Pelodiscus sinensis: one gene and its partner. The main gene of each other region encodes a partner of the protein of the gene in region 2 in a complex. Links are inferred from orthologs where the notes say so. Each region holds a gene or a part of one and is shown on either strand. Other genes may lie near its edges.

Evidence for each region.
Region 1: the proteins of GIPC1 (region 2) and PLXND1 are in contact, whole or in part, in a crystal structure (PDB 5V6T), measured with the Mus musculus proteins. The link is inferred for Pelodiscus sinensis from reciprocal best matches to the Homo sapiens genes GIPC1 and PLXND1. Residues at the interface, in NP_061241.1 of Mus musculus: His61, Glu141, Ala142, Leu143, Gly144, Leu145, Thr146, Ile147, Thr148, Asp149, Asn150, Gly151, Phe156, Lys158, Arg159, Arg190, His191, Tyr192, Glu193, Ala195, Arg196, Leu198, Lys199; in NP_080652.2 of Mus musculus: Glu1400, Met1889, Glu1893, Arg1899, Gln1902, Gln1904, His1905, Glu1908, Ile1918, Tyr1919, Cys1921, Tyr1922, Ser1923, Glu1924, Ala1925.

Annotation. Positions count from the first base shown.
Region 1 is NC_134721.1:20,125,943-20,141,597, forward strand, and holds the start of PLXND1 (plexin-D1), read right to left. Parts: upstream 6,161-15,655; 5' UTR 5,992-6,160; coding exon 4,690-5,991; intron 1-4,689. UniProt on the Homo sapiens protein: Cell surface receptor for SEMA4A and for class 3 semaphorins, such as SEMA3A, SEMA3C and SEMA3E. Plays an important role in cell-cell signaling, and in regulating the migration of a wide spectrum of cell types.
Region 2 is NC_134729.1:10,600,376-10,615,722, forward strand, and holds the start of GIPC1 (PDZ domain-containing protein GIPC1), read right to left. Parts: upstream 6,546-15,347; 5' UTR 6,395-6,545; intron 1-6,394. Other genes in the region: DNAJB1 (dnaJ homolog subfamily B member 1), read right to left, coding at 11,315-11,545, 12,037-12,605, 14,628-14,838. UniProt on the Homo sapiens protein: May be involved in G protein-linked signaling.

The DNA of each region.
Region 1 (15,655 bases), on a different chromosome or scaffold from region 2:
TCCTGATTTCCAACCCTAAACTATAATCACTAACTTATCCTATTCCCCTTATGAAAATATACAGTTTGATCCTGCCAGGTGCTGAGTAATTCAACTCTGACTTCAATGGAAGCTGAGGGAACTCAAAACCTTGTGGCTTCTGCCACTAAATGCCACATAAATCGTTTAACCACACTTCTAACAACATAACTATTCTTAATAAGTTTTCATTATGGAACAAATAATCTTCTTAGTCATCGTTACATATAGATAAGATCCTGAGTACAGCATTCATTTCTGCAATCATTGAATCAATACAAAAATTAATTAAAAAGAAAAGATGGATCTTGTCAGTCCCTGAAGAGAAGTCACCTGCTTTACACTATAACCCTAGTTTTCATCTTTGCTCTGACACTGAGTTCATCTGCAGACTAGGGCAAATCTCATCATCATGCTATGAACAGCAATAAATACATTAACGTGAGTGCCACATAGAGGCTTGAGAGGAGCATTAATATGTATAAAGCGCTTTACAGAGGGAAAAAATCCAGATATTTTAAGTGCTGATAAAGAATGGCTTATTCATTGTTATTAATTGTTGCCTCCAGGTGACTATAAATCAGAAAAAATCTGTACTATTCATATAGGCTGGGATTTTCAAAGGAGTCTGAGGAAGTTAGTTAGGTGCCAGGTTGAGTTTCAATGGAAGTTGGGCACCTAACTCCTTGGGGTACAACTACACAGCAACATTATTTCAAAATTACTAGCGTTATTTCAAAATAACTTAGTCCATGTCTACAGAGCAGGCAGTTATTTTGAAATAATGTCAAAATATTGTCAAGCTGGAGTTCTTACTCCAATTCCTGTAAACCTCATTGTATGAGTAAGGGAAGAGGAAGAGTGTTCTATTTCGAAATAAGTTCTGTGTGGACCCTCCCAATTTTGAAATAAGCTATTTCAAAATAAGCTACGCAATTGACATAGTTCGAGTTAAATTCTGTTGTGTAGACACACCCTTAGGGTATGTCTACATTGCATTCCTCTTTCGAGAGAGGAATGCAAATGCAGCTGAGTGAAATTGCAAATGAAGCACGGATTTGAATTTCCCACGCTTCATTTGCATAATTGCGTCCGGGCGCTATTTCAAAATACCCTATTACGAAAAAAGAAACACTTTCTAGACGCGGTTATTTCGAAAGAAACCCCTTCTTTTGAAATTACCCTTACGTCTTATAAAATGAGGTTTAAGGGTTATTTCGAAAGAAGGGTTTACTTTCAAAATAACCGCATCTAGACAGCGTTTCTTTTTTCAAAATAGGGTATTTTGAAATAGAGCCCGGACGCAATTATGCAAATGAAGCACGGGAAATTCAAATCCGCGCTTCATTTGCAATTTCGCTCAGCTGCATTTGCATTTCTCTCTCGAAAGAGGAATTCGGTGTAGACATACCCTCAGTGTCCCTGGAAAATCTCAGCTACTGTTGCCTAATCCTGCAGTCATTGCTCACAATGTGCCCCTGAAAAGTGTTGAGGGCCTGATTGTTAGGGATACTGAGCAGTATACCCAGCATGTCAGTGGAAATCATTGAAAGTGTAGGTGTTCAACAGCTCTGGAAAATCAGGCCCTCAACTCCCACTGGCTACCATGGGAGCAGAAGCCCTTAGGACTGGATCCACACCATTTAATGCACTGTGTCTTTTTGTGGCATTAACTAAAAGCCACAATGGTTACCAGATTTTCTGGCTGTCTGGCAGCTTGTACTTTGCCACCAAAGGAAAACAATTCAATGTCCCTAAGCCAGTCTATGAACTACGGCATTAAGGCTACCTATTGTAACTTAGTATGGGGCTGCCGTTGCCAAACAGACTGGTTACCATAGGAAACCTTTCTATCATTGCACTGTGAAGCACAGAAGCCAAACCCAAGTGCTCTGTCTTGCCTGTGAAATCAAACAGATGTTTTTATAATCTTTGATGGAGCCAAGTTTTGCCCTTTTCCCAGCAGAAGAAAAAAAAGACACAGTGCTAAAGCAGCTCTGTTGTTTAATAATTTGTGACTTTTGCTAAAGGGGAAAATAGGCATCTTTATCCGGCATAAAAATTTATATTTCAGTGTCTTTGTAGCCATGTTGATCCCAGGATACGTGGATACACGGCAGATGAGGTAATATATTTTAATGGACCAAATTTTGTTGATGGGAGTGAAATGTTTTCAAACTTCAGAGAGCTCATATTCAGATCTGGAAAATGTAACCAGCTAACTACAAGATGGGACAAATTGTTAAACATCCAGTAAACATATGTTGCCAGAAACCACTTAAAATAAAGTGGGCACGAGTGATAATTTCCAACCTGAGTTTTGTAAAGCTCAAAAGCTTGTCTCTTGCACTCTTGTTTGTCTCTTAGTTCAATAAAAGATATTGCCCTCCCACCTTGCTTCTATTAACATTCATGTCCACTTAGTAACAATTTGTGACAATGGTAAACTTGCACACCAAATGCAATGAAACAATTCAGCCTGTGTTCCCTCTCTATGTACTGTACACATCCTGCACTGTCCTGCTGCAGAAATATACAGAGGGACGTGGGAAGAGAACAGCTACAACTGAACACACATTCTTAGAGCTGCCTTTCCTCCATGTCTGTACAGAGAGCAACAAATGAAAAGAAAGAGAAAAATAAAGTCTGTGAGTCACCACTAGTTCACTGGGGACAGGGAACGTGGGAATAAAGATGGTCCTTGATAAAAGAGGGGGTGGTTGTATGTATGCAAAAACCACTGCATGTTTGACTTCATAGTAAGCCACGTAGGAATCCAATTGATTGTCACAATGAACCTAAATTTACACATGGATACTGAATTAATGTAAATCATTGCCAAAAAGGAGCTTATTGTACTCAGCATGTCTTCCTCAATTTTCTAAATTGTGTACATAAACCAGAATCACTCATAGTGATGGATCAGAGGAGGCTATGAGATGGATTTGAACAGAGACAGTCCTGGGAATGCAGAATCCACATACAAATTCTAACACCCACTTCAATCCAGGGCAGAAGTTTGGCTTCATACTACTGTAAACCTCTGAGAGAGGTCTGGGTTTGGCTGCTGACATACTCTTTCTCAACCATCACCCAAATCCAAAGTCTGACAGGGATTCAGGTGCTAAGGTCTGGGATAGACCATTAGAGCCTGATATGCATCACTGAAGTCTATGGAGATTTGCAACAGATTTTAATGGGGTACAGTGTGCAAGTTCACACCCACAGAGACTCAGGCCTGTACACAGGGCGAGTGCAAAGGGTGCGAAAGCACCCCCCATGGTCCCCTAAGTAAGTATACTCCGCAGGAGCAGTGAGCTGTCTGAGCCTCCCACAGCCATGCTTTGACCAGCTGAGGGAAGGCTGGGGCTGATTTCCCAGCTTATGTGGGGGACCATTGGGGTGCATTTACACCCTTGTGGTCCACATTTACAAAAAAAGCACATACCCCCACAGAAATGCGTATGGGCCTGAGACTAGTTATAACATTCCGGTCAGGCTTTTGGTTCTGATTCCAAGCACCACCAACCCAAAGTCCAGTGGTTCTCACATGCAGGCTTCTGACTGAATCCCATCTCTAATTTGCATTTATACGACAATGCTTATGTCAGATACACAGATATGTGAAAGCTGTATCACTTTCGATGTTTACACTGGATTAGACAAAGCACCGGAGAATGGACTGAAGAGAACAATTCCAATGGACAAACTAATAAATCTTTTCCGCCTCTCACTTCCATGATTCTCAAATCCCACCAGACTTCAACCTGATGGATTGTTATCACTTACTCAGCTAGTCAAGAAGGTTCACGGTTATTAATCCAAACATGAGACCCAATTCTAAAGTCCTTACAATGATTTTAAAAGTGTTTTGCCTGAGTAATAACTTCAAGATTGGGACCATGGAGAATCCAGTCTCAGCCAAGCATTCCAGTCTATGCACTGCTGGATATCAGCAGGGGCTCACCACACTGTCTGTTTGGGGTGTGCTGAGCCCTGTCCTGCAGAGCTCTAGGTTGCCTTTTACAGTCTCTCATCTACTAAACAGCTGGGTTTCTGCCAGCAGGTGGTTTCCCTAGGATAAAATCATCTCACTGTAGTGTAGTATCACATGGATTACCTAACTTTTTTCCACCGACAGGGGGTTATAGTGCCTTGAACCACACCCCTTCTGCCTCAAAATCTGCTCTCTTGAGCTGCACTTTTATCAGAATTAGGGGCTCTCCCCAGTAGGGATTCCCCAACTCTGCACTCTGATCTTCCACAGGGACATATCTGCTCCCTGCGCCACGGCCCTTGAAAGGGAACCTTCCAGTTTCTCACCCTCTACAGAAGAGGTGTCCCACCATCCTAGAAAACTAAGCTGCGGCCTTATCTGGGGCACCTTCCGAACTTTCTCAGTGGTTCTCCTAATGTTGGGACTCTGCTCTCCTGGACTCCGCTGTTACCTGGGTCCCCACGAGGGTGGGCAACTGCAACATCCCAGGAGTCTCGCTCCCCATCCCAGAGGAGGAATCCCCACTCCTGAGATCCAATATCAGCGAGGATGCTGAAGCTCCCCTGAGCGGGGCAGCGGGGTCCCCACTAACGACAGGCGCGTCTCCAGAGCTGCCTCCCTCCCACCACAAGGCTGCCCAGGGGGGGGCCCGATCCCAGCCCCCCGCCGCCTACCTGGATGTTCCTCTTCTCGCAGGCCGGCCCGGTGCCCTGCACCACGCTGTCCAGCACGTCCACCCGCCCGGAGTCGGGCTCCACGAAGCACGAGTGCCGGGCCTGCCGGATGCGCCGCTCGATGTCGGCGAAGCGGAAGGCGCAGAGCGCCGAGTTGTGGCGGGCCCCGGGCGGGGCGGCGCCCTCGAAGACCCCGAAGAGCAGCTCCTGCGGCCGGGCCCCTTCCCCGCCGGCGGGCGCCAGCTGCAGGGCGGCGGCGGCGGGGAAGACGGAGAGCAGGCGGGTGAAGCCGCTGCCGCCGCCGGGCCCGCACTGCAGCCCCAGCTGGATGTAGGACTCGGTCAGCTTCTTGGCTTCGCCGGCGCTGGCGTTGCGGCCCGGCTCGGCCAGGCAGATGCGGGCCAGCAGGCTGTGCGAGTGGCTCTCCTTGTCGCCGGCGTTGGCCTCGCTGTTGAGGGCCAGGTAGGCGTAGGCGGCGCCCCTCAGCGGCGGGGCGGGGTGCAGGAAGGCGCGCACGAAGCTCAGCTTGTGGCGGGCCTTGTGGCCCTGCTTGATCTTGAAGATGTTGTCGTCTGAGGGGTTGAGGTCGAAGGTGAAGAGCTTGGCCAGGTCGCCGCGGGCGTTGAGGGCGCGGATGGCGATCTCGGGCGTGTTCTCGAAGCGATGGTCCTCCAGGCTCTGGTTGCGCGGGAAGAAGGGGCTGCCGAAGCCCGTGTAGGTCGCCCCCACCAGCAGCCGCGTGTCCCGCCTCCCCGCCGCCGGCCGCAGCACCAGCCCCACGGTGGAGGCGTTGGGGTGGTTGGCCGCCACGTTGAGCATGCTGGGGAAGACGGTCACCGGCTCCCCGCCGCCGCTGGCGCTGCCCGGCGGGAAGCTCACGGCCACGGCGGAGATGTTGGCCATGCTGCGCAGCTGGCAGAAGCCCTGGTAGATGGAGCCGCACACCACCACGATGCCCTGCTCCGGGTCCGGCTGCAGGATCTTGTTGTAGTTGTTGGTCAGCCGCCTGGGGTGCTCGCAGGAGGCCTGCGGCAGCTGGGGTGCGTGGCACAGGGGGTTATCCGGCACCGGGCCCACCTGCTCCTCCACCTCCAGCGTCAGGTTGGGGCCGGAGAGCTGGTAGAGCCGGTTGACAGCCGCCAGGTAGATCTTGCTGCCCGGCCCGTCCAGAGCGAAGTTGTTGGTCAACGTGGGCGAGAGGAACTTGTGCTGCACCTCCAGGCCGGCGTTGGGGCTGGCGAGGAGGGCCAGCAGCAGCAGGAGGGGGGTTAGCACCTTAGCGCCTCTCTCCCCGGGAGTCATCCTGCCGCCTGGGCTGCTGCTCTGCAGAGTGCATGAGGCTCCACGGGAAAGGGGGCTTTGCAAAGCCAGGGGAGGAAAACCTGCTTCCTGCGAAGCCAACACGCCTCAGCACTGAGTGACGCCAGGAGGGAAGTCCGGAGCTTTTGTTGCAATCGCAGCCTTTGCCTGGTTACTGGACCTTCCTCTCTCTCTCTCTCTTCTCGCCAGCGCGGAGATCGGATGGGGTTAAACTCCCGATCTCGTCTTTGCAAAAAGCAGCACCCTCCCCCCTCTCTCTCTCTCTCTCTGACAGCTCCGCTCTGCCTGTGAAGCGATCCGCCGCTCTCAGACTTCTCCTCTCTTTCGCTTCTCTCCTTTCTGCATTACTCATGATGTGTGTTTTTTTTTAATTTAGGGTTTGTCATGTGAATATGATTAAGTTAAAGATATTTTCCAAAAGCTGGAAGGCAAACGTCGCACCAGCCAACCACACAAAGAGACAGCCCTTGTTCCTTGATAGCAGCTCTTCTAACAAATAACTCTTGTGTTTGTGTGTGGGGGGGGGGGTCGTGTTTCTAATCAGAATATGGGACTGAAAGGGAGATAAGAACTTTTTCTCGTCCGGACATAAAGCAAGATTGCAACCATAAGTAAAAATAACCAAACAACATTCATTTTTGCCGACCCACTCCTATCCAGTCTTCCCTCTCCCCCCCCCCACTTCCCACAGTCAAAATAGGTTAACTCTCAGTGCTCTTGAAGTATTGCACTCCCCATAAAGAAGTTGTACAAGAAAGGATAACAAAGAAGAGAGGTCAGACTGTCTGGAGTTGGGGGTCAGGGATAAATTAAGTGGACAAATATTTCAAGTATGTAAGGGTGGGGGGATCTCTACCAATCCCACTGTATTTCAGTCACTGGCGCCATGCACTGCTTGTTGTTTTAATTCCCTCTGTTGCAATGGAGATGTGTTTGCACTGAGCTGCTCTTTATTTAATGTGCTCAAGAAAAGCTGACATCCCCCAAGCTTGAAATCTTCTACTCATTCCCAGGGCAGGTATAGCACAGGCAGCAGAATTCCCTGACACTGCTCTGATAATGTTCCTGAATCCTATCCAAGAAGACTTAGGAATGAGAGCTTAGTAGGGATCGGGTTGGGGTAGTATACCTCTTCCATCTGCACCCACAAAATAAACTCTGCACCTGTGAGTTGCTGCTCACAGTAGATTGTGCAGGTGTTCAAATTATAATTGTGCATATTCTTTGAGCTCCATTGGGCATCTTGTGCTTGGTTTATTTGCATTAGGTACCCTATGGAGATAACACTCAGTTGTGCAGGTCAGAGGTCCTCTCTCTTCTTTCAGATGGCTTTTCTACACAGAAAAGTTATACCAATATTAGTTAAGGTGTGAAGTTAAACTAATATAGTGAAACTAGCGTAATGCCTACATGGACCCCCATTCCAGTGTACAAGTACCTTTATTGCTTTAGGATAGGTTTAAAAGAACCCCTCCACTGCAAAAAAGCAACTCTGATACTGGACTAAATGTTTACATGGAGTTTAAATCAAGACAGTTATACTGATTTAACTATATACTTATACCACTATATATGGAAATTTTTTACAAGATAGACAACCTCTTACATGTAGAATGAAATAGTTAACAATTTTGACACAAATTATCATCACTAGACCTCTGAGTTTACCCCTCACTAAAATTCAGGGTTTTAGAACTAATGTTCTAATCTGCAGGCTTTCTGCAGATTGACATAGAGATCTCTGCCTCAGTTACCGAGTGCATGTTGATAACGTTTACTGTGCACTCCTACTAGCTAGAAACTGATTTATTTTTTTGAATGAAAACAGATCAGAATTAAGAGGTATTTGTATGCCAATATTGGCTGAATGTATGCCCTGGCATTCAGTCTCTCTTTCACTTTCATTGACCTTTCTACAGATTTTCCCAATTTGGAGAAGTTTTGTGTGTGTGATGTGAGCACCCATCCTCTGAAAATAAACTGAAACCCATACCAAACTCATTTAATATAATCACTAGTTGCTAACAATGGGCTGATTGTTTTCTCCCTCAGGAAAATCAGCAGGATAACACTAATGTGGAGAAAATCTCAGCAAGATTTCTTCCTAATTGTTCCATCAGAGGAAGAAGGGTAAGATTGTCCTGGGACTGGGTTGTCTTATCACTCTTTCAACTTAAGCTGGAAGGAAATGAGGTAGCTCCAAGCCCCACTTCTTGTCTGCTCACTCCCCAGTGTGGAGCCACAGACTTATCGAGCGTCATCTCTGAGATCAGAGGAGGACTGAAGTGTCCTTCATTCTTGTAGTTGTATATTGTCACAATAATTGCTGTACATCTTAAGGCCTTGGTCCCCACAGTTCTTTGGAAGTGTAAGAATCTTTGTTTCTCTAGGAAAGTTTCTATCACTTGTGGTTCTGAAAAAAATCTTGGAAACATAATCTGTTAGTTAATGCCTATTACGCCCGCTGGTGTGTAGGGCAGCAACGAAGGTTCTCCATTTTTTGTTTGTCTTTGGCCATTTTCTCCAGTGTGTCCCAGTTGTAATTCATTCTCTTCATGTCTGACTCAACAGTACGCCGCCATGTTGTCTTGGGGCTCCCATGTTTCCGTCGTCTTTCAGGCGTCCAGTGAAGTGCTATCTTTACAATGGCATCTGCCTCCCTTCTCATCACGTGCCCTATCCATCTCCAGCATTTTCTCATAATGATAGTTGTCATGAACTCCTGGTGGCATCGCAGGAGCAGGTCGTGGTTGGAGATTGCATTTTTTGGCCGAAAACAATGTATCTTACGAAGGCTGGTGGTGTGAAAGGATGAGAGTTTGGCACGGTTGCACTCTGTCATCTGCCAGCACTCTGAGCCATATGGTAGTGTTGATATGACACAGCTCTGGTACAGCTTAAGCTCTAGCACACCTTAAATAAACCAAATGGTAAATAAAATAATACTTATATGTATTATCTTGGTGCCTTCTTCCACTAGGGAAGGGTGTGAGTTGTGCATTGAGAGGCCTAACCATGCATAGATCAGGGGCAGGTAGTTAGGTCTGATGTTTGGTCACTAGACTCCTGGCAGGCTCATACTAATAGATTCTGTGCCTCTCTTTCAATATCGGGAGCCATCCCTGTGCCTGGGCTGTTCTCATGTTACTTCAGTTATTTTCACTTATACAAAACATATAATTGAGACTGATGGGGATTTTGGATTACTCGTATTCTGGATAGAAATGTCCTCTGTTGTCTAATCTCATTTCTACACCTGCTAGCTTCCTTCACCCCTTTCATGTCCCTTTCACCCATTTCAGAGCACTAATTAATACATAACTGCAATAACCATGCGATGTTCACTGAAGATGTGCATAGAATTAAATAGTGCTTTCTCATTAACTCATTGTCCTTGCTAATCATAACTATCCATTACAGATATTGGTTCTTTTTAAAAAGATTGTTTGGGGTTTTTTATTTTCAAATTTTAAATACTAGAGTATCATTAACTCCCCAGAACTAAACTCATGCTCTAAAATATAACACTACATTATATTTAGCACCTTCCATTCTAGGATGTCAAGGGCTTTATAAATGCTGGCTAATTAAGCCCTAAGTGTGAGGCAGGTAAGTATCATTATCCATATTTTACAGAAGGAAAAGCTGAAGCATGGAGGTCTTCATTTTCCAAAAAATTGACGAGTTATGTAAATGCTTCTCTTTTGGGGAGCCCCATCCCATAATCTGTCTTTTTTAGGGTTTCCTACCACCACTCATTACCACGATATCTGGTCTCCTTCCAAATGAGATGACCCTTTTAAAGGACCTCATATTAGACACCCAAAATTTTAGGCAACCAAAATAACAAGTAATATCTGAAAATTTAGCCCCAGGTGAATAAGTGAGTTGCCCAAAAGCATATAGTTACTGGCCTTGTCAGGGTTAAAAGCCAAGCATCCTGACTTCCAGTTTACTGTAATGACTACTTTCCTACACTGATATAGTTTAAGCCAAAATATTGGTAGTATTGCAAGATTATCAGGTAAATATTTCATTTTTGTTGTTGTCAGGAAACAATCCTCTGACGAGATGCTTTGAGGATGATTTTTTCCAGAAATGCTCATTCCCATTATTACTAGTGCAATTGGAATCCCTAAAGAATATGTTCAGATAATGCTATTAATAGAGGAGTTTTAATCTCCACTATGCAGCTCGTAGTATTTTTCTTTGTTCAGAAAGGAATGAAGGTCCGAAAACAACCAACAAAAAAAACCTGTCTATGCCTCTGAATTTGGACAATTACCCCCGGCCAGAATCTGTTTCTGTTTGACACTTATGCAGGTTAAAAGATAACATCTTTTTAGACAGGGGGAGGGGGAAGTGTGTGTGGGGGCAGGAAAGGTGTGTGTGTGTGTGTGTAACAACTCAAAACCATTTTAATCATTAATAAATATATTTACCCAAGCACAGATGTTCTATAGAGAGAACATGAGTTACTCATGCACTTACTCAGGTTATATTGACTCAACATTGTCAAACAGCAGGCTCTGTGTCTAGCCCTTTTACTATGCTGAGTACAAACATCTATTTATTTTCCTGGTTTTAGCAGCAAGCTACCAGAGCACAGCTTGACTTTAGGGGGACAGCTCACAATTCCATGTTGGAAATGAACTGGTTTGACTCAGCAGACCCAAATAAATAACCCACCAAGCTGACCATTTGGAAGAAAGAAAGAAAGAGACTGGTTTCTAGATATAACACGTCATTCAATGTGTGACACTGCCTAGAATCAAGTGAGTTCTCCAGCATTCAGTGCTGTTTGTCTCTCACACCATGTCTTCCGTAGCATGGTCGCTATGTTAGGGATAGAAATTCTAAGAGAGTGTCTGTAGCTTAGTACACGGAGCACCTGGAAATCAGAAAAAAAATTTTTTTTTTGTTTATTGTACAAATAGTATCTGGAAATGGTTGGCAGTTTCCCAAGCCTGATTTAAGTGTTGCCTGGTGTGTGTGTGGGAGTGAGAGAGAGGTAGATAGAAGTGTTGTGAGTAGATTTGTGCAAAACTCAGAAGTTTCTTCTTCATCTTCTTTTTTGTGGCAGGCTGTAATGTGGGTGTGCTTTGGGCTTGACATGACCTCCATTTGTCTGAGTTGTGAAACCAATCTCAAAGCAAAAGTTCACTCAAAATTGATGAGTTTCACCTGCAAACATAAGAGAGTGAAAATTTTAAGTTAAGTCCAAATCTGCCACCGGCATCCCATATCCACTCCATTCCTAGGGGCTTCGTCTACACTTCAGGCTTCTTGCACAAGAACTTTTTGCGGAAGATATCTTCCACAAAAAGGTCTTGTTCAAGAGTTCATCCACACTGTCATGTGCTTTTGTGCAAGAGATGCACTTTTGCGCAAGAGAGTGTCCACACTGCCAGGGTGCTCTTGCACAAGAAAGTTCTGATGGCAATTCACAGGATGGCCATCAGAGCACCTGTACTTTTTCCGATAGGGTTTCTTGTGCAAGATACCCCTGTAGTCCATCCACACACACCTTTTTGCTCAAGAGCTCTTCTAGAAAGAGGAATAACTCTTGTGCAAAAAGCCCTGTCTTCTGACAATCTACTGTACTTTTTCTTGTGCAAAAACACGCTTGTAGTGTGGCCGCTCTGTGAGTTTTTGAGCAAAAACTCTGCAGAGTAGACGTAGCCCAAGGGTATGGATGGGGGCGGGAGAGATCAGCAGGAGCCACATTGGACAGTGAGGAAGGATGGCCACAGGGGAGGCCTTTAACCCCACAACCTCTCCAGTCCTCACACAGACTAAATTAAACTGGCTAAGTTAGCTAGACAAATTCATACTGAAACAGAGTGATTGTCCACTAGAACAATTTACTAAAAAATCATGCTAGGAAGCTTTTATGAGAGAACTGCTCCTGGAATTATTTTGGAGAAGTTCTGTGGTCCGTGTGGTCAGATTAGATGTTTATAGTGGTCCCTTCTGGCCTTGAAATGCCCTTTCTCTGTGTCTATAGGTTTTTGATAGGAGAGGGGGCTCATTGATAGAAGTGGGGCAGAGAGGGAAATGTGGCTCACGGGAGAATGGGGTTGGAACAAGAACAAAAAGAAAAGAACTCAGCAGGAATTGTCTCTAATATGGATCTGATCACTGTGCTTATCTGCTGCTCCCACATCTTCTCTCCTTTGCCTAGCTTTGCACAGGGGGGCTGTCTAGACTGGCAAGTTTTTCCGCAAAATCATCTGCTTTTGCGGAAAAACTTGCCAGCTGTCTACACTGGCCGCTTGAATTTCCGCAGAAGCACTGACGATCTCGTGTAAGATTATCAGTGCTTTTGCGGAAATACTATGCTGCTCCCATTCGGGCAAAAGTCTTTTTCCAAAAAACTTTTGCGCAAAAGGGCCAGTGTAGACAGCAGAGATTTGTCTTCCGCAAAAAAGCCCCGATCGCGAAAGTGGCGACTGGGGCTTTTTTGCGGAAAAGCACGTCTAGATTAGCCACGGACGCTTTTCCGCAAAAAGTGTTTTTGCGGAAAAGCGTCCTGCCAATCTAGACGCGCTTTTCCGAAAATGCTTTTAATGGAAAACTTTTCCATTAAAAGCATTTCCGGAAAATCATGCCAGTGTAGATGTAGCCGTAGATTGTAAGCTCTTTGTGGTTGATTGGCCTCATCATACATATTGTATCAATTAAGGACCTGCCTATTGCACTTCAAGGCACTCAAACAATGGTAAGGCAGTAAATAGACCAATTTATTTTCAATCCTTAGCAAATCTTTGAACAATCATTGACTGAGTTTCTAGTTTATGAATTTGCATTGCAATAGCTGTTTACAGTGCAACCAGGCAGATTTCATATGGCTAGCCTAGGTGATTTATCAGAAAGAGTAAGACAGCATCTCTTTGCTACAGATCTTCCTCACTAAACAGAATTTAGAGAGTGGGCTTAGGTTTGCTGCAAACAAACCCTTACAGCTGTGGCTGTGAGTGCAGAGAAGTCATGGCGGAACAGCATGGTTCTGATAGCACTGAGCTGCAGGCCCTCACTGCTCCTCTTAGCAAAATAGCAATTTATTGGGACCCTGAGAAGTTTTTAATAGAATCATATTTTTTTTCTCCTCAAGCCTCGTGTTCATAGATTAGCCTTTTTCAGTGCAATACAGAGCATCACAGGCTGTGCAACACAGGCAGTCCCTTGTAGCCTCTTTCACCCATCAGGCTAGTACATTCAGGCTACATCTACACTGGCAGCTTCTTGCTCAAGAACTCTTTTGTGGAAGAGTTCTTGTGCAAAAACTCTTCCACAAGAGAGCGTCTATACTGGTATGTGCATTTGCGCAAAAGCATCCATGGCAGTGTAGGCGCTCTCTTCCGCAAGAAAGCTCTGATGGCCATTTTAACCATAGGGGCTTCTTGTGTAAGAAATTCATGTTGCCTGTCTACACTGGCCTCTTCTGGAAGAGCTCTTGTGCAAGAGGGCTTATTCCTGAGAGGGAGTGTCAGAGTTCTCGCACAAGAAGCCCTGATTTTCTACAGTACAATGTCAGTTTACTTGCGCAAGAACGTAGCCAATGTAGACAGGCGGCATGTTTTTGCACAAGAGCAGTCATTTTTGTGCAAGAACGCGCCAGTGTAGACACAGCCTCAGTGTTTTGTCTGCAATGATGAGCTGCCTAAATACAGGTTCTTACCAGGAAACTATTTTCTTTGTTAACAATGGAGGTGAACATTTAACAGGGATAGATTTGGTAGATCTGAATCTACAGAAGTTCTAGTTTAATGCAATGGAAATACTTTTGTAGGTTATGAGATCACTTATTATAGCTCTTTGGGGAGAAGAAAGAGGTGGTCTTGCAGCTCAAGCAGCACTGCAAGACTCTTGAGAGTTAGGTTCTGTTTCCCCATCTACTACAGACGTATCTGTGAGTTCAGGCAAGTTACTCTATGCTGCAGTTTCTCACCAGTAAAAAGATTCCCTGGTTCTGTCTGTTTAGATTGTGAGCTCTTCCAAACAGGAACTGTCTTTCCCTCCATATGTTCAGCCTAAAGAGGTCTCCTGTGCCGTGGGCTGCTGGGTATCACTGCAACATTATTACCAGAAGTCCTAAGTGGCAAGAGCACAGGCTTCTAATCCAAGCTCTGATACAGACTTCTAGGGAAGCTGAAGCATAGAGATGCTGAAGTCCAGGTTCCCCTAAGGTCCCCATATAGGCACCTAACAACCATTCTAATTAATTCACTAAGTATTCACAGATGTAATTTAGTGCCCCCTACCAACAGTTGCTATAGTTCAGCAGTGCTGTGCTGTTGTCCAGTCATCTAATCGCATCACACTTTAGCCCCATCCCTTTTTAGGGTAAAGAAGTCTAGTAAAAAAAACAAAACAAAGAAAACCCATAACAGATGGCCAAGCCCTGCACCCAGTCTGTTACCCTCAGTTCTGGGCTTGGAGATTTTCTCAGGGCTTCCAAAAGGTCCATATTCCTTCTCAGGGACCACACACCCATACCAACAACCAGTAGGGGAAGCCAACCCATCCTCTACACTGGGTCCCAGACCAAGACCCCTAGGAGAAACACAAGATTCATTCAGCCCAGCTCCTTTCTGCCACATCCCTGAAGCCTTTATTCTTACTCTGCCAAAGCCTTCTGATTAGTCTCTTTGCCACCTCTACTACCACTGCCATAACTGCAACATTTCTTTTTACAGACCCCAATGACACTGCTTTCCCTCTGTTTATATCTCTCAGGAAGCCCCTCCCCAGCTGGTTTCTTCATTAATTAGGCCTGACCCATACCCATGTGCAACCAGGGGGGCTAATTGAGCTCTCTGACCCCTGTTAAACCATTGTTCTCCTGGGTGGGGTAGATACCCTGTTATACTCCCCATTCCCAACACCAGAGGAGCTCCATTGGTATCTGGTAAGAATGACTCCATGGTAGCAGCTTTTAGTGTAGACAGGACTTCTGGTACCAGTGGTGTGTTTAGTGCCATATTGTCTAAACTTGCTCAGCACAAACCTAAGTGACAGTGAAAAATGCTTGTGTCTGTGAGGCCCTTACCCACACTAGCATGCATTGGATTTCCAGCAGGAATGGTAGAAAATGTTCTGGCTACATCTACACTGGCGGGTTATTGCGAAAGTATGGAAGTTCTTGCACAAAAATCTGCAGAGCATCTACACTGCCCATCCGCTCTTGCGCAAGGAAATTTACAGTATGGCGTGGTAAGAGAAGGCTCCTTACGCAAGAGCTATGCTCTTTTTTAACAGGTGTAAGCCCTCTTGCGCAGGAGATCTTGTGCAAGAAGGCAGTGTGGATGCTCAGCAGGGATATCTTGTGCAAGAAAGCCTTATGGCTATCAGAGCTTTCCTGCGCAAGAGAGCGTCCACACTGCCATGGGCGCTCTTGCACAAAAGCACAGCTCGCACGTGGCAGTGTGGACGTTTTCTTGCGTAAGACCTCTTGCACAAGAACTTTTGCGCAAAATGTTCTTGCGCAAGAAGCTGCCAGTGTAGACATAGCCTCCCTGTTTTGAGTTGACAGAATTTTACACACACTCTGCACAGATGTATGTACTATACAAGGTTCAGGGCACAGCAGGATTCAGGGCACAGCAGAATCAGGCCCAATCTCTGTGGGCCAAATCCTGCATCT
Region 2 (15,347 bases):
GGCACCTCCAGAACCACCCCCCCGCATCCAGCACAGACCCACATGCTCCTCGCAGCGCTCCCCAAGAGCGGCTTCAGCTCAGGCTGCAGAATTTCTCCACATCTGTGTTCTCACCCTAGCTGCCCAGCTCACTCTGGATTCTCCTTACACCCTGTTCTGTGCCCATATCTGTCTTTCCCCCACCCTCTTCTTCCCTATGCTGACTAGTGTCACCTCTAGCTCCCTGCTTCCTGTCTCACTGCATCTACCATTCACAGGAGGCCAGAACTCACCCTGTCCCTCTGCCCATTTTAAGTGGCAGTTTCATGGGACACGGCTCTTCACTTCCTGGTGCTAAACAGTCATTTGGAGCCACACACATTTCGGTATCTCGGCTACAGGGGAGCGGTCCGGCGCAGCAAGATGGTATTGGCCGGCAGGAGCCTGATGTGACCAAAAAGCCTAACCTGTGGTTTTTAAAGGGGAAGCATTTTTTTTTGGCTCAACAATTCTGGTGAGTCTCTTCGCATTTTTTCTGCCACTGTTTCGGGTCTCTTTGTTTAATGGGTTGGCCACCCCTGAGTTAATCGATTAAAAAGAGGGCGGGGCAAGAGGCACTCCAGCCCTTACCATTCAGGGTCAGGCTTACTAGAAAAGGTTAGACATTAATATCCTTAGTATCTGGAGATCTAGCGGAGACCTGCTTCCAGAGATTCATACTCAGCACTGAACACGTCTTACTATGGCTAGGCCTATCATAACTCATTCATACTGTTCTAGAGAGCAGCAAACAGAACAACTAGGGCTGTCAATTGACCTGCGTTAACGCCTGTGATTAACGCAGGACAGGACTAACGCATGAATTTTTTTAACGTGTTAATTGCCAGCGTTAATGCTGCGCTGCCCCTTTGAAGTGCCGCTCTGGTGTTTCCAAGGGGCAGCACATTAGGAGCTTGGGATCAGCCGGGGACTCCAGCTGATCCCTGGCTCCGCTGTTGCAAAGCCCCTTTGAAGCACCAGAGCAGCACTGCAAAGGGGCTTGGCAACGCTGAGCTGGGGAGCTGATCCCAAGCTCCGAATGCACTGCTCCTTTAAAGTGCCAAAACAGCACTTCAAAGGGGCAGTGCTGCATGGAGCCAGGGGGATCAGCCGGAGTCCCCAGCTGTTCCCAGGCTCCTAACGTGCTGCCCCTTGGAAATGCCACCTTTTGGAAATACCACTGTGGCGCTTCCAAGGGGCAGCGCTGCATGGAGCCTGGGGTCAGCTGGGGACTCCAGCTGATTCCGGGCTCCATGCAGCACTGCCCCGTTGAAACGCCACCACAGCATTTCAAAGGGGAGGCACACACGATTAATTGCGATTAAATTTTTAAATTTCTTGACAGCCCTAATAAACCACGGGAGGCCAAGTTCTTACAGGACCCAAGTGGCCAGACAGACTCCCTAATTTAAAGTTTTAACTTCAGAGTATTGCACACATCAATCAGTTTGGGGCTGCTACTTCTTTACACTTAACTTCTGCACCTGCCAGAACTGGCAGATCACTTATTTGTCTAAGACCTACCCATAGTTGCAGTGCAGCTCCATATGTACTCCACAACTTCCTGGTACAGCAATTCATAGTCCTGCCTTTGCTTTTAGGGAGGAACTAGAGCTCTGTTTGCAGATCTCCTGAACCGTATTTGAAATGCTAATACCATAAAGACGGGATATAGACATTTGTTGGGTGGTGTGCAGATAGAGTGAGCAGCTTCAGTTATTGTGCTCCACAGCAGAGGGGGCTGCATGTTCAGCAGAGGGTGAAGCTACCCCCTTCTAGAGTGCACAACTATTTGCCAAGTCAACACAGAATTACTAGGGAGTATTTGGAACTTTAGGGCCAAGTGGTTACAAAAATCATTCACAATTCAAATGAATCAAGATGGCTGGAAATGCTTGGGGGTGAGGGGAGGGGCTTTCCTCAGCAGCTGGGTCTGGGGCCAGAGGCTGTCAAGTGGAAAGAGATAACAAATGGCAGTGCCCATTAAAGTGGCATATCTCTCCTGCCCCAGGAACTTGTGACCCTCACTGTGGAGACAGAGCTGGGGGGCCAGCCTGATGGGAATAGAAAAAAAAACCAACAAAAAAAAACAAGGTTTCTCAAATTGCCCAGTAAAAGTAGACATTTTTTTCCATGTGGGCATGCGTCAATATCATGACTGATCTAGTGGCTAAAGCATAAACATGGGACTGAGGAGCTCTCAGTTCAGATTTTCATTTCCACCCTAGCAGGCTAAGATGCTGGGCAAGTCACTTTCCTTTAACGTACATCCCCCAAGAGGTGCCTCAGTTTCCCCCTTTGAAATGTGGAGAGTGATGCTTCTCAAGTGAGGTTCATTTAGCACAACCTGAAAATTCTGGGATTTGAAGGGCAGAGTGAAATACAAGTTTGTTTATGGCCAGAGAAGAAATCAGCAACTGGGCAGTTCAGTCATGCATCTCAAACTTTTACTAGCCTCTTTTCCCCAAGGCTAAACTGAAAGTGCTGCAAACACCAGCAGTCCCTAATGCCTTCTTGTTGAAGTGAAAGAAAGCTAATCCCCATCGGGGCTGACAAGGGATTAGAACATGAGCAGGCAGAGAGAGGGAAGGAGCAGCACCTGCTGCTCTCAGGGAGCAAACCTGCCCCAAGCATTCCCCACCATTCCCTGGGAGCCTGAAGGCCAATGGAGCAGGATTGAATTTGGGGGATAATTTGAGCCATTTACCACACACAGCTGAGAAGCTCCTCTGCGTCTCCCCAACTCCCTGGCAGCAGAGTGTGTTGACCTCATTTGAGGCATGATCAACATGGGGACTGATTATCTCATTTGCTTTGTAGCACATGTGTGTGTTCACTGTGTTGCCCTCATGCCCCATGTCACACTTAGAGGGGAAACAAACATCTAAAAGGGAAACAATAATTCCTGTTAATGTGCCAGAGACAACTCCTGCAAAACCCTTACCATCTGCCTTTATTAGATGGGAAAAGGGAAAGGAGAGGAATAGGCTAAAAGATACTAAATAGACAAGCAACAAAGGAGAATTTCTAGTTGATTTTGCACAGCAAACTTTGAATTGTAGAATCCTAGGGTTGGAAGATACCTCAGTAGTCATCGAGTCCACCCCCCTGCTTAAAGGACAACTAATCCCAACCAAATCATCCCAGCCAGGGCTTTGTCAGGACTTAAAAATCTCTAGGGATGGAGATTCCACCACCTCCTTAGGTAACCCATCCCAGGGCTTCACCACTCTCCTAATGAAATACAGGCAGTCCCCGGGTTACATGGATCTGACTTACATCGGATCCCTACTTACAAACGGGGTGAGGCAACCCCGCACTAGCTGCTTCCCCCCAGCAGACCAGGGAGATGCGAAGCTAGCGCCCCCCCGCAGCAGACCAGGGAGACACGGAGCAGCTTTTCTCAGCAGACACCTCAGCTTGAGAATAAAGGTCTGAGGGAAGTGAGGTGTGGGAGAATAGAACTGAGCTCTGGAGAAATGTTTGGCTAGAGTTTCCCCTACAATATGTACCAGTTCCGACTTACATACAAGTTCAACTTAAGAACAAACCTACAGTCCCTATCTTGTACGTAACCCGGGGACTGCCTGTAGTTTTTTCTAATATCCAACCTAGACCTCCCCCGCTGCAGTTTGAGACCATTGCTCCTTGTTCTGTCATGTCACCACTGAGAACAGCCTCTCTCCATCCAGTTGAAGATTGCTATCAAATCCCTCCTCGCTCTTCTCTTCTGTAAACTAAATAAGCCCAAATCCCTCAGCCTCTCCTCAAGTGTCATGTGATTTAGCTCCCCAATAATTTTCACTGCTCTCCACTGGACTTTCTCCAATGCATCCGCACCCTTTCTGTATTCGGTGCCGAATAAAGGGGAATAATCACTTCTCTAGATCTGCTAGCAATGCTCCTCCTAACGCACCCCAATATGCTGTTATCCTTCTTGGCTACAAGGGCGCACTGTTGACTCATATCCAGTTTCTCATCCACTGTAATCCCCTGATCCTTTTCTGCAGAACTGCTGCTTAGCTAGTAAAGATAGGATAGTGTAAACCAGGGTTTCCCAATCTATGGGTCCCCATTACATTTCAAAAGGGTCACCAAGTGTCTCCCCAGGTGACTCTGCCCTCCCTCCTCCCCCCATTTTTGAATTGCCTTGGGTCACCAAGTCTTCCTGAATTGTCAAAATGGGTCCCCATCTGGAAACGTTTGGGAACCGCTGTTGTAAACAGCGGCAGCAACACTGAAAGCGGGGACAGGCAGAAGCTGGTGCTCACAGGGAGTCAGCTTTTAAGCTGGCTCCCCATGAACACCAACTCCCACAGAGCTGCCTGTCCCTTCCTGAGCCCTGCTGGCTCCTCGCAAGCACTGACTCCTAGCTGTTCCCCATGCCCCACACTGCTGCCTCTGAGGGGGGCAGCTCTGAGGGAGCCACCTCCCCCCTCATATGTAAACATGAAAAATTCAGTGGTAACAAATGTTTACAAAGATAAATGCATTTTAACATCCCTATTAGCCAGTTGGTCCCCAGCCTGTAACAGTGCTTGGGATTCTTCCTTCCGAAGTACAGAACTCTGCACTTGTCCTTGATGAACCTCATTAGATTTTTTGGCCCAATCCTCCAATTTGTCTAGATCACTCTGGACCCCATTCCTACCCTCCAATGTATCTACCTCTCCCCCTAGCTTACGGCAATCCATCCCCTTATCCAGGTCATTAATAAAAAAGTTGAACAAAATCAACCCAAGGACTTTGGGCACTTTGCTTCATACCAACCACCAAACAGATATTGGGCTCAACGGGTAGTAATCAACAGCTCGACAATCTAGCCAGCTTTCTATCCACCTTACAGTCCATTTATCCAAGCCATACTTCTTTAACTTGCGGGCAAGAATACCGTGGAAGACTGGATCAAAAGTTTTGCTAAAGTTAAGGCATATCACGTCCACCACCTTCTCCATACCTACAGAGCCAGTTACTTGGACACAGAAGGCAGTCAAGTTTGTCAAGTATGACTTGCCCTTGGTGAATTCATGTTAAACTTAAGTTAAAACCTTTTTGATCTTTCATATAGGCAGAAAAACCCCAAACCAAACCCAAGCCAACTTACAGGATGCTGCCCCTTCTTCTGCATATGCATTTGGAGATTCCATGCTGCCCATTTCTATTTTAGGACTTTTGAGTGGCAAAACTTAAAGTGCTTCCAATATACATCAACTAATCTTTGTTTACCCCCATGAGGCAGGTGGGTCTTACTTTCCAGATAGCTAAGTGGAGTACAAAGTAGGGATGCTAATTTTGATTAATCAGCTAATCAAGTAGCTGATAAGGGGAGAGTGTAGTGCTTGCTATCCCCGTTGCACCTCTGCCTTTTAATGGTAGACAGAGCTGCTCCAAGGCTCTTACTACATTTAAAAGGCAGAGGCACAGCAGTCGGGACCTGGTGCGAGTGGAGACTGCTTCAGTACCCCACTCGTGCTGTTTGCCCTGCTGCACCTCTGCCTCCCCTGCCCCCTGCGGAGCTAGTGCTCGGGGGAGGGGGGAAAATCGGCTTTTAAACTAGCTCCCCCCAGCACTGTCTCATGCTCCCCCTCCCTTTGCTGCTTCTGATACAGAGGCAGCAAGAGGAGGGGGAAGTGACTAGTGAGTCAACTATCCAGTAAGCCTAGGCTAATTGGGTAGTCGACTAGTCGCTTATGTCCCTAGTATAAACAAGACTTCTTGGTCACAGAGGGAATTAATAATGGCACTGGGAATGTAACCTGCTTTAACTGTAAGGCGGTACTTGGACACAGGGGCAGCACCTCAATCATGCCGTTTATCCTACACAAGCTTGCAGATGCATTTGCATAAAGGAGGGAGCTTTCTAGGGTGATTACAGGAGGGACCTGAGATCCAGGATTTCGTGGGTACAATTCCCAGTTCCCCCACTTTATAGCCTTCAGTTAATCCCTCAGGTACCATGAGCCTCCACTCCTCAAGGCCCTCTGAGGCACAACCCGCACAGGCCATCCTTCTGTGCCAATGCACCATACACACCCCGTCAAGGGCACATCAATCACATCCTGCGCAGAGCCTGACCCCCCCTCCACACACTCCAGCTGGAATCCCATCCCTGCCACAGCATCCTCTTCTGGGGGGCTCCTGCCCAACTTAGGGGTGAACAACCCCTCCCCCCCAGCCAGCTGTCCCCCCCCGGAACTGATCCCCCCTTCTGACCCTCTGCTCCCCTCCCCGCAGCCGAGGGCACCTCCCCCCACGCCCATCCCCCCTCTGCTCCTATCCCCCCCCAGAACAGTCCCCCTCCCCCCCACTGCCAGGCTCCCACGAGCTGCTCCCACCCCCCCTCGGATCCGCCCTTGGGCACCTCCCGCCGACTCACCCCGTCCGCCTCCCCGCAGGGCTAGTTCCGCCAAACTCCGGCCGGGCACAGCTGGGGCCTGTCGCTCGGGGACGGGAGGGAGGGCTCCGGGCGGGAGAGGCTCCGCGCCCGCCATCCAATCACAGCACACCTCGCGCACCCTTTGGCCAATCCAAGCTGGGCAGGGCGGTGAACTGGGCGGTCACATTCTGGATCCATCCCCTCCATTTCCTCTCCCCCTTCGGGGCGCAATGGAAGCGTCCAATCTAAGAGAGTGTACGAATATGGGGGAGGAGCAGGCAGATACCATCCCAGGAGAGCGCGGAGCCCGAAAAGGAGCGAGAGTGGGAGCTACCATTCAGAGGTGGAGTTGCAAGATACTATTGAAGAAGGAGGGGGGACCCCCAGGAATTGTCATTGTTGACGTTGGCTACAGGAAACACCTACCAACCAATTCTGCCTCGGCAGCTTTTCCTGGCCAATCACAAGCAAGAACATAGAAAATAGCCAATCAGAAACTGGTAGGTGGAAGAGTTGGTAGAGTACCTAGACCAGGTGCATTACCCATCCTCCCCCTCCCCCTGCCTAAAACAGGGCTGTAGAGGAAAGGCTACAAATGATGCAGACCCAGCGGCCTGGTACGCGGATCAATACCTTCTCGTTGGTTCCTTATTGAGAGACGAGGTGAATGAACGAATATTGTTATTGGCTCAACTTCCGTTTTTAAAAGCAATGAAGGGAGGCATGCATTTGACATTCTCTCAAATCGGTATCCAGTACCAATTCCAGCTGACGTGAGAAACAGATGGGACAGTTATTCAAGGTTGAGACGTTTAGTATTGCATTTCTGAGCTTCCCGTGAGTACTTGTAACTAACAGGTGCTTTTTAAGGTGAACCTTTAATGATGTTTAGCTTTTAGCAGATTCTCTGCTTGAGTGGGTAATGGTTAATTGGTACCCGGGAGCAGCCTCCTCAAGCGGAGGGCTGCTTCAGACCTGCCGGCTCCGCCTACAGCCGCTGAAAGCTAGCAGCCCCATGCAGGACCAGGAGCTGTAGCTTTGCTTAGGCTGGGAGCCAGCAACTCCTGCCTGTGGCACTCCAGCCCAACCATGGTGGGGAGGGGCCCCCTTTAACTGATTAAACAGGATAATACATCCCTAGTTCCAACATTACTTTCCATCCCCGTTTCTTCATCTTAGCTTTACTTCACACCTACACCTCTTCTCTGCTGCCCCCACTCTTGCTTCCTTTCCCATTCAGCTGACCTGCTCCTGGCTAAACCCATCCAAAAGAAAAACTGTTAATGGAACTGGTATTTGCTGGTCTCACATAGTTCACTTTGCTTATTGTATTTCTTCCTCCATCCACTCTGATTTTGTTTTATTTAGAGCAGAAACTCTGCAGGATATCTACTGTTTGCACAGAGCCTAACCTAGTGGGACCCTATCTCAATTGGCCTTTATGCAGCAAGCAAATTGTATCATCCGCTGGCTGAGCTAGGAAGTTGCTGGGGGCCTGAAGACCACATCACAGCCACTAATTATAATACAGGTGCAATCCACTGCAATACCCTTTATGATACTGAGTGCATCGTGTGCTGGTTCAGGTAGTTTCATGGGTATGCAGGCCTGGTAGCTGCATGTGCGCCTTAACAGAATTTTCAAGGGTCAGAATGATCATGAAATGCTTTGGGTGAGCTAGACAGCAGCAAATTACATCTGCTTTCTGATCCTTCATCCAACAACCCTATACCAGAATCCCCCTTGAATATACAGCACGAAACATTTACCTGTATAAGAAAAGTGGAGTCTGACAGGAGTTGGATTTGTACAATTTCATTGTGTAAAGTTTCCACTCATGAAGACAGAAGGAGGTAGGCGCAAGAAACCTGGCTCAATACAGGGTTTTGATTGACTAAGCTTGAGGAACATCCTTAACAGTTATATAGAAGCGTGGAACATGGGATAAGGACATCAGATTTCATGTAGCAGTCTCACACAGAAACTGTGCCCTGGTGTGGTGTGAACTAGATCTAAAAACTGCTGCCCCTAACTTCCCAGTCTCTCCCCGATTTGTTACCCTGACGGGAGTAAGCTTTCATTTCCCAGCTATACACATAAATATGAGGTAATAATTGCTGTGCTACAGCAAATTCTCAAACTTATTAATGGATGTCACACAGTAGATATCTATCCTGCAGAGCTTCTGCTCTGTGAGACATCCATTAATGTAATGTCAGTCACTTCTATATAAGGAACTTGCTGACACAAGAGGTCAGTCTAGTCTACATCCGGTAGATGTAACCACATGGTAGAAGGAAACATGAGCAACTACTCTGCTCACAACCAAACAGGAGGACCAGAACTAGCATGAGGTAGTATCATTGAGTACCCAGTGAAGAAGACATGATTACAGAGCAAGGAAGCAAAGTGGAAGTAAAACCCACAGAGAAATTAATACAAGCAGCTGCTCTTGACAAAAACAAGGAAGAAACTGCTAGCTGAGATACAGCACTGGAAAAGAAAGAATAGAGAACTTTTTAGGTAAGAGACACAGCATATTGTCTATTGCAAACAGGAATCGGAGAGAAATTTATACATAAGACTAGCTCTAGTAAAATGTCAGAAGTACAACCAATTCCCCTTCCACACTTTATTTTATATCTTGAGGCTATGATGTAGATTTAACTGTTCTCCTACATCATACAGGCAAGGTCAGTAACAGTTAGGACTGTACATTCCAGTTAATCAGCTAAATGTTAGGTTGATGTAATATTTAGTCACTTAACTGAGCAGGAGCTGGGCTAGGGCCTGCTCCAGCCTGTGCCTAGGCTCCCCAACCCCCTGAACAGAGGCTATTGCGGATGCTGGAGCAGCCTGTCTGCAGGGTGCCAAGGCTGCCACTGACTGCTCTGCACAAGTGCAGCCCCTGCCTGCAGTGGCCAGGGAGCTGCTCCAGCCCCCACCAATCAACCAGAACTCATAAGCATTACCTATTTAAGCTTTCACATGAGGTAAGTAGTTTTAGAAGGGCAGTATCTTTGTTATGGAGCAAAGCCACCGCAGCTATGCATGCACTTTGAAATGGCATCTGCTGGGGGGAGAAAGAGATGGGAGCTAGCTTGGCTCAACTCAGACAAATGAAAGCAGTATAGTGCGAGTGGCCTGGAAGCTCTCCTATAAGAAAGAGGTATAGAACATCACCTTAAAGATGTTTTGTGACGCAAAACAAAGGAGGGCTAGAATAGCCTGAGTAGAGAAGCCCTAGCTTCCTGGTCCCTGCTTGCTCTAAGCTTTATTGTAAAAGTTGTGCACCACAGTTTTACAGCAGTGTTTCAGGACTAGTGCAGCTGTTCCAGCAAGGATCATGCTGAAAGCAGGGTAAAGAAAACATTCAGCACTTGAGGGTAAAGACCTATGTTCCAACCCTCTGAACTGTGACTGTCTGTGCCACTAATTCCGTTAGACACCACAGTCCATCAATGAAAAGTGCTAATACATTTTTAAAAAAGTGTTAATCACTCAGCCAGTATTCAACAAGAATAAATTCTAGCAGTGTTTTCCCATCTCTCTGAATTTTTAATGACATGTGTAGGTAAGTCCTTTATTCCAGACATCTAATCCTACCTGACATGCTTAGACTTTGAGTAGATTTTAATTGTGACAGATTAATGTCAAAGAGCTATCAGCTTGGCCATCCCATTACAAGATCACGGCCCAGGCAGTGTAGGATCATGCTCTGCCATTGGTTTGAGTAAGCATGTCATCACACCCTCTTTATCAGTGTAATCAATCCTGTAAAACAGCAGCTACCATAGTTTGTATTACACACAAAGTATACACATGAAGTGCCATAGTGCTCCTGTATCAGGAGAAAACCCTTTTTATCAAAAAAGGATAACTTGGGGGTAGTGCTACCAGTTCACAGTCCTGGTTTGGGGGGGGGGGGGGGGGGGGAAGAATCCAGAGTCCATTAGCGTACTGAATAAGTCTTTAACATGAAATTTGATATTCATCCTGCATGCAGGGTTAGTAAGACTCAGCATCTTCCTTAGGTACTATGTACCTGAAATGAAAAAAGGCAGCCCTGTATTTGTTCACCACATGACCAGGATCCAGACTAAGAGACCTTAAAATGTCTGGGGGACGGGGGAGAGAAGACTTTCATAGAGGGAAAACTTCAAAACGCATTACACTTGAAATGTAAAAAAAATATGTTTTCCCCCTAGACTAGACCTTGTTAACTTTGGTAGTTAGCCAATGTGTGAGGAATTTAAATTTAAAGGCTTACATTCTGAAAGACATTTAGGACTTCTCTAAGCTGTGACTCTCTGGAAACATTAAGGTGAAACACAAATTGTCTTCCAACACAATTGACAAAGAAAAAACTGATACAAAAAGCTTTTAAGCATGACAATGACAACTTACAGAACTAAAAATACCAGTTAACATTTAGTGTGTCCCTGTATGAAAAGCCTTCAGTATAGGAAGCGACAAGGGACACAGCATAGTACAACACCAAGGCAAGATGGAGAGTCTTTTACTTGCAAGTCCAGTTTTAGATTTGTTTCACCCTTTCCAATGGGGAAACTACAGCTCTGCACGAGAGATGAGGTGAAACAGATGCTCAGTCTATGGTTAGTCAGTTAAGTGAAGGCAGCACATGGAGCAGTTGGGTGGAAACTAGTCACCAGAAGAAAGGTTTGACCAGGAGATACAGATTCCTCCCACAAGCAGCTGCTCATTGATGTAAATACTTCAAGTGATGATCTGGGACTAAAGTCACTGAAAAGCGAATACACAATTTTCAAGATGGTACTCTTGGGGAAGAGTTTCAAAGTCCACACCCTCCACTGAAGAGAAACCCTGAAGTCCTGGTTATGGTCCAGTAACCTTTTGCTTTGGAAGTGTCCTTGTTTCAGTTCTCCATAAGCAGCCTTGCTATATTGGCAGGATCTGCTCTAGGACACTTTTGGAGGCCTGTGGAATTCTGTCTGGAAATTTTACTTCAAATTCTATAAAAAGGTCCCCTCGCTGGTCTGGATTCTTGGGATATGGGAGACCCTCTCCAGGGATTCGCCGCTTTATCCCAGGTTTAATGACATCCTTAAATACCATTGGGATGGTCCTGCCATCCAGCGTTGGCACATTCACTGTGCAACCACACAGGGCCTAAATATAAAAACAGGGAAATTAGAACAGTGTCAACATATACAATCTCTAGCAGATTTCCCAAACAACCAAATAGAAAAATGTTTCATTGCAATGGCCTGTTTATTCCAATTTGTTTCTTCTGAGTTACTGATGCAGGCACAGAGTAACAGTACCAGAAATTGTACAACTATGTTATATATTTGTACAACTGCTTGACCCACATTGAACTTTCAGTATCCAAACTGACCCACATCATTTTCAAAGTAGTTGCCAGTGATCTGCCATCTCTAATGGTGGTTTATACCCTTTGATTGTTCCACAAGGAAGTATCCTGAAGCTACCATCTTATTTTAGGCAGACCACAGAAGAGTTAGGCAGGTATCCTATTATGGATTAAAGCCAGATACGAAACAGGGTGCAGATAGATCTCAACACTTGTCACTTCCACTAGCCAAAACCCAACCCAATCCACCCACTAATCCCATACTGAATCTGGAACCTTTGCTTACCTCACGGAGGCTGATCTTAGCTGGGAAAATAATGTCAGATCCATCTCTCTTAAAGACATTGTGTGGCTTGTCTTTTAAAACAAAGACAATGTCAGCTGGAATGTTGTTTGCTGTTTGGTCCCCCTCTTTTGGAAAAGTAATCTTTGTTCCTTCTTTCCACCCTCGTTTGACTTCAATGGTCAGAATCTTGTCCTCATTCCGTGTGGTCTTCCCATCTGTATTAAGTCGTTTGTGAGATATTTTCATTTTCTTGGTGCAACCAGTATATATTTCCTCCAAGGAAACCCTCAGTTCATGAATGACAGGAGGGTCTTGTTTTTTGCGCATACTTTCATGGCCCGAGCGGGAACGAGGGAAACCCATATTACTAAAGCCCCCCATTTGAAATGTGGAGAAAGGGTCATCAACATCCATGTCTTCATCTCCATTCCTTTGTACAAAAAAGGTATCAAATGGGTTCCTGCCACCAAAGAACTCTGCAAACATAGCATGAGGATCTCCATGAAACGTGTAGCTGAATGAGGTACCATTGGAACTTCCGCCACTGCTGGGACCACCTCCCTTTAGTCCTGAAAAAACAGAATGAATATAATCCAGTGATTACTCATAAGAATTTATTAAACTCAAGATTTACCAAATGTCTCCTATATCTTTCTTAATTTCAAGACTCTCCTCATTCTTAGATCCTGGGAATGTCATTATTTAGAACTTTAGGTTTGATGTGCATCACCAAAGAGGCCTGCTGTCATCTTAAAATGGTGTCAAGATTCAGACCTCCCTAGTCAAAAAAGAAATTAGAGCCAAGTTGAAGAGCTCTTCTCTCTCAATTACTGAGTTTCCTAACATAATAATTTATAATCAACTGTATTCCTTTAATTGGCATTAAACCTAGCTCATCTATATAGAGCCATTGTAGCAAAAATAATTTAATCTGAGTGCCTGGAGACTACAACTATATTCTTCCTGCTTCAATAAAACACTGTTACGGAGCAAGTTTCATAATTTAACATACACAGGCAAACAAATACAGTATATTAGAATCTTCTAGTGACAAGCAAAACCATTCTGTAGTCAGCTCCGCCTCTTCTGGAAAAGTGGCCTATCAGCTCATATGGGGAAATCATTAAGTATTTACAGGAAAGGCAATGTAGAGAAACAAACATGGGAAGTCAGCAACTGAAAAGCAATTCAAAACACAAATTTTGGAAAATAATTTAAGGGAAATTATCTACAATTCTATTAGCTGGAAAAAGCAACTATTTTTAAAAAATATTAAAAATCATACTCTTTCAGCATCAGATGTTAACAGTTGAGTTGGCCAACCTAGCTGTTTAAATACAGAGAAATCTAGCTCCCTTGTTTGAGTAATCTAAATGGATGAGACTACACCCTAAAAAAAAAAAAAATCTGTACTAATGTTAAATTAGAGATTTGATGCAGACTTTTAATGCCTTAATTTGGAGGAAGTCAGGCAGGCTTTGCACATGGACTTCACAATAAGTCTCCCAAAGAGACTATTTTCCTTCCACTATTTGATCTGAGGAAGTGGGTCTGGGCCACGAAAACTCATTATCTAATAAACCATCTTGTTAGTCTTTAAAGTGCTACATAGTCCTGTATTTTGTTCAAAAGAGTCTGACACTTGTGTTTTATTAATAGTTTTAACAGGCTATGTTATTAATGCAACAGGACGCTCTGAGATAAAAGAAACTGGCTAATTCCTAAATTCACTAATAGGACTAGTTCTACTTCCTTTCACAATTAGCTCTGTACACATCTCCCTGTTACTATGAGTCTTATTTTTCTGACAGCCACTTCGCTATCCCATGCTACTGACAGTATCTACAGGCTACACGGGAAAGCTGAATCCCTTTACTGTACATGCCCATTCAGGGTTCAGTACTGTTCCCTGAAAACCAACTAGATGCACTCCTTTCCAGACAAAAATGAATGAATTTCAGAAGCAAAGGATTAAAGAGAGACTAGCCACTAGTAAATACTTTGCTTCTCTGTCACTCCCTGGATTGCATCAAGAAAGAAAACCACTCCATCTTGTGTGTAAGAGATACACAGTTCCCTCTCCACAAAGTTTGGGAGTGCCCCATTAGGACATATGTTCCTCTTCCCCAATCTTAGTGCTACCCCTCACTTCATGGAAAGTACTTCCAGAATACCCAGCAGCATGACATTCAGCTATTTCTAACCACCTCCTTCCTACCTATCACCAGGTACTAAGCTGCATCAGAATGTCCTTCCCACGGGTATGCGGTCTTCCCCGGAACAGGGCCTCCTCGCACAGAGGCTCTGCACCCCAAACCTTAGCGCACCATCCCCCTGCTTACCAGCCCCCCCCAGCGCTGCACCGCTGAAAGACAGCCCCCCCCCCCGCCTTCTTCCCCAGAGCCCCAGTGTATAGGGCGTCCCCCTCCCCCCATCACGTCAGCGCCCTTCGCCACACCACGGGGGCAGCCCCCCAATTCCTGCTGCGCAGCCCCCCCATCCACAGCGAGCGACACACGCCCCCTGCCCCATCTCCCCCACCAAGCTCTGCCGGACCCCCCCGCGGCCCGCGCCCACACGCCGCCCCTCACCTTCCTCGCCGAACTTGTCGAAGATCTCCCGCTTCTTGGGGTCGCTGAGCACGTCGTAGGCCTCGGCGATCTCCTTGAAGCGCTCCTCGGCGCTCGGGTCCTTGTTCTTGTCGGGGTGGTAGCGCAGCGCCTGCTTGCGGTAGGCCCGCTTAATGTCGTCGTCCGAGGCGCCCCGGGACAAGCCCAGCGTCCGGTAATAGTCCTTGCCCATGGCTCCCAGCTGCGCGTCTCACACCCCGTCAGCGGTTCCCGTCACTCCAGCGCGGCGCCCGCCGCCACCCCCCATTTATATGACGGGTGGCGGAACCTTCCAGAGCTCGCCACAGCTCTCCAGAACCTTCCCCGCCCGGACCCCGCCTCCCGCCCGCCTCCCCCAATCACAGCGCGGGGCCTGCCGCTCTCCGCCAGTGGGGACAGAGCCTGCGTCACGTGACCGCACACTTACCCCCCCCCCAGAGCTTAACCGTCGCTGAGACCACGCCCCTCACTCGTCATCAAGTGAGGGGTGGGAAGGGGACAGAAGCGCGCGCTGTGAGACCAACGGTCGTTGCCGGTCACTGTCCCGACTCCCCCCACTCTCTCAGGCCGCGAGCCTGGTGGGACCAGTTGCCGACTCTCCGAGCGTTCTCGCCCCGCCCCCAGGGGGGGCGGGGCCGAGCTGAAACCCTAAACATCAATTCTGCCTCGGCTTTCTTTTGCATCCTAGGCACTGACCACGCC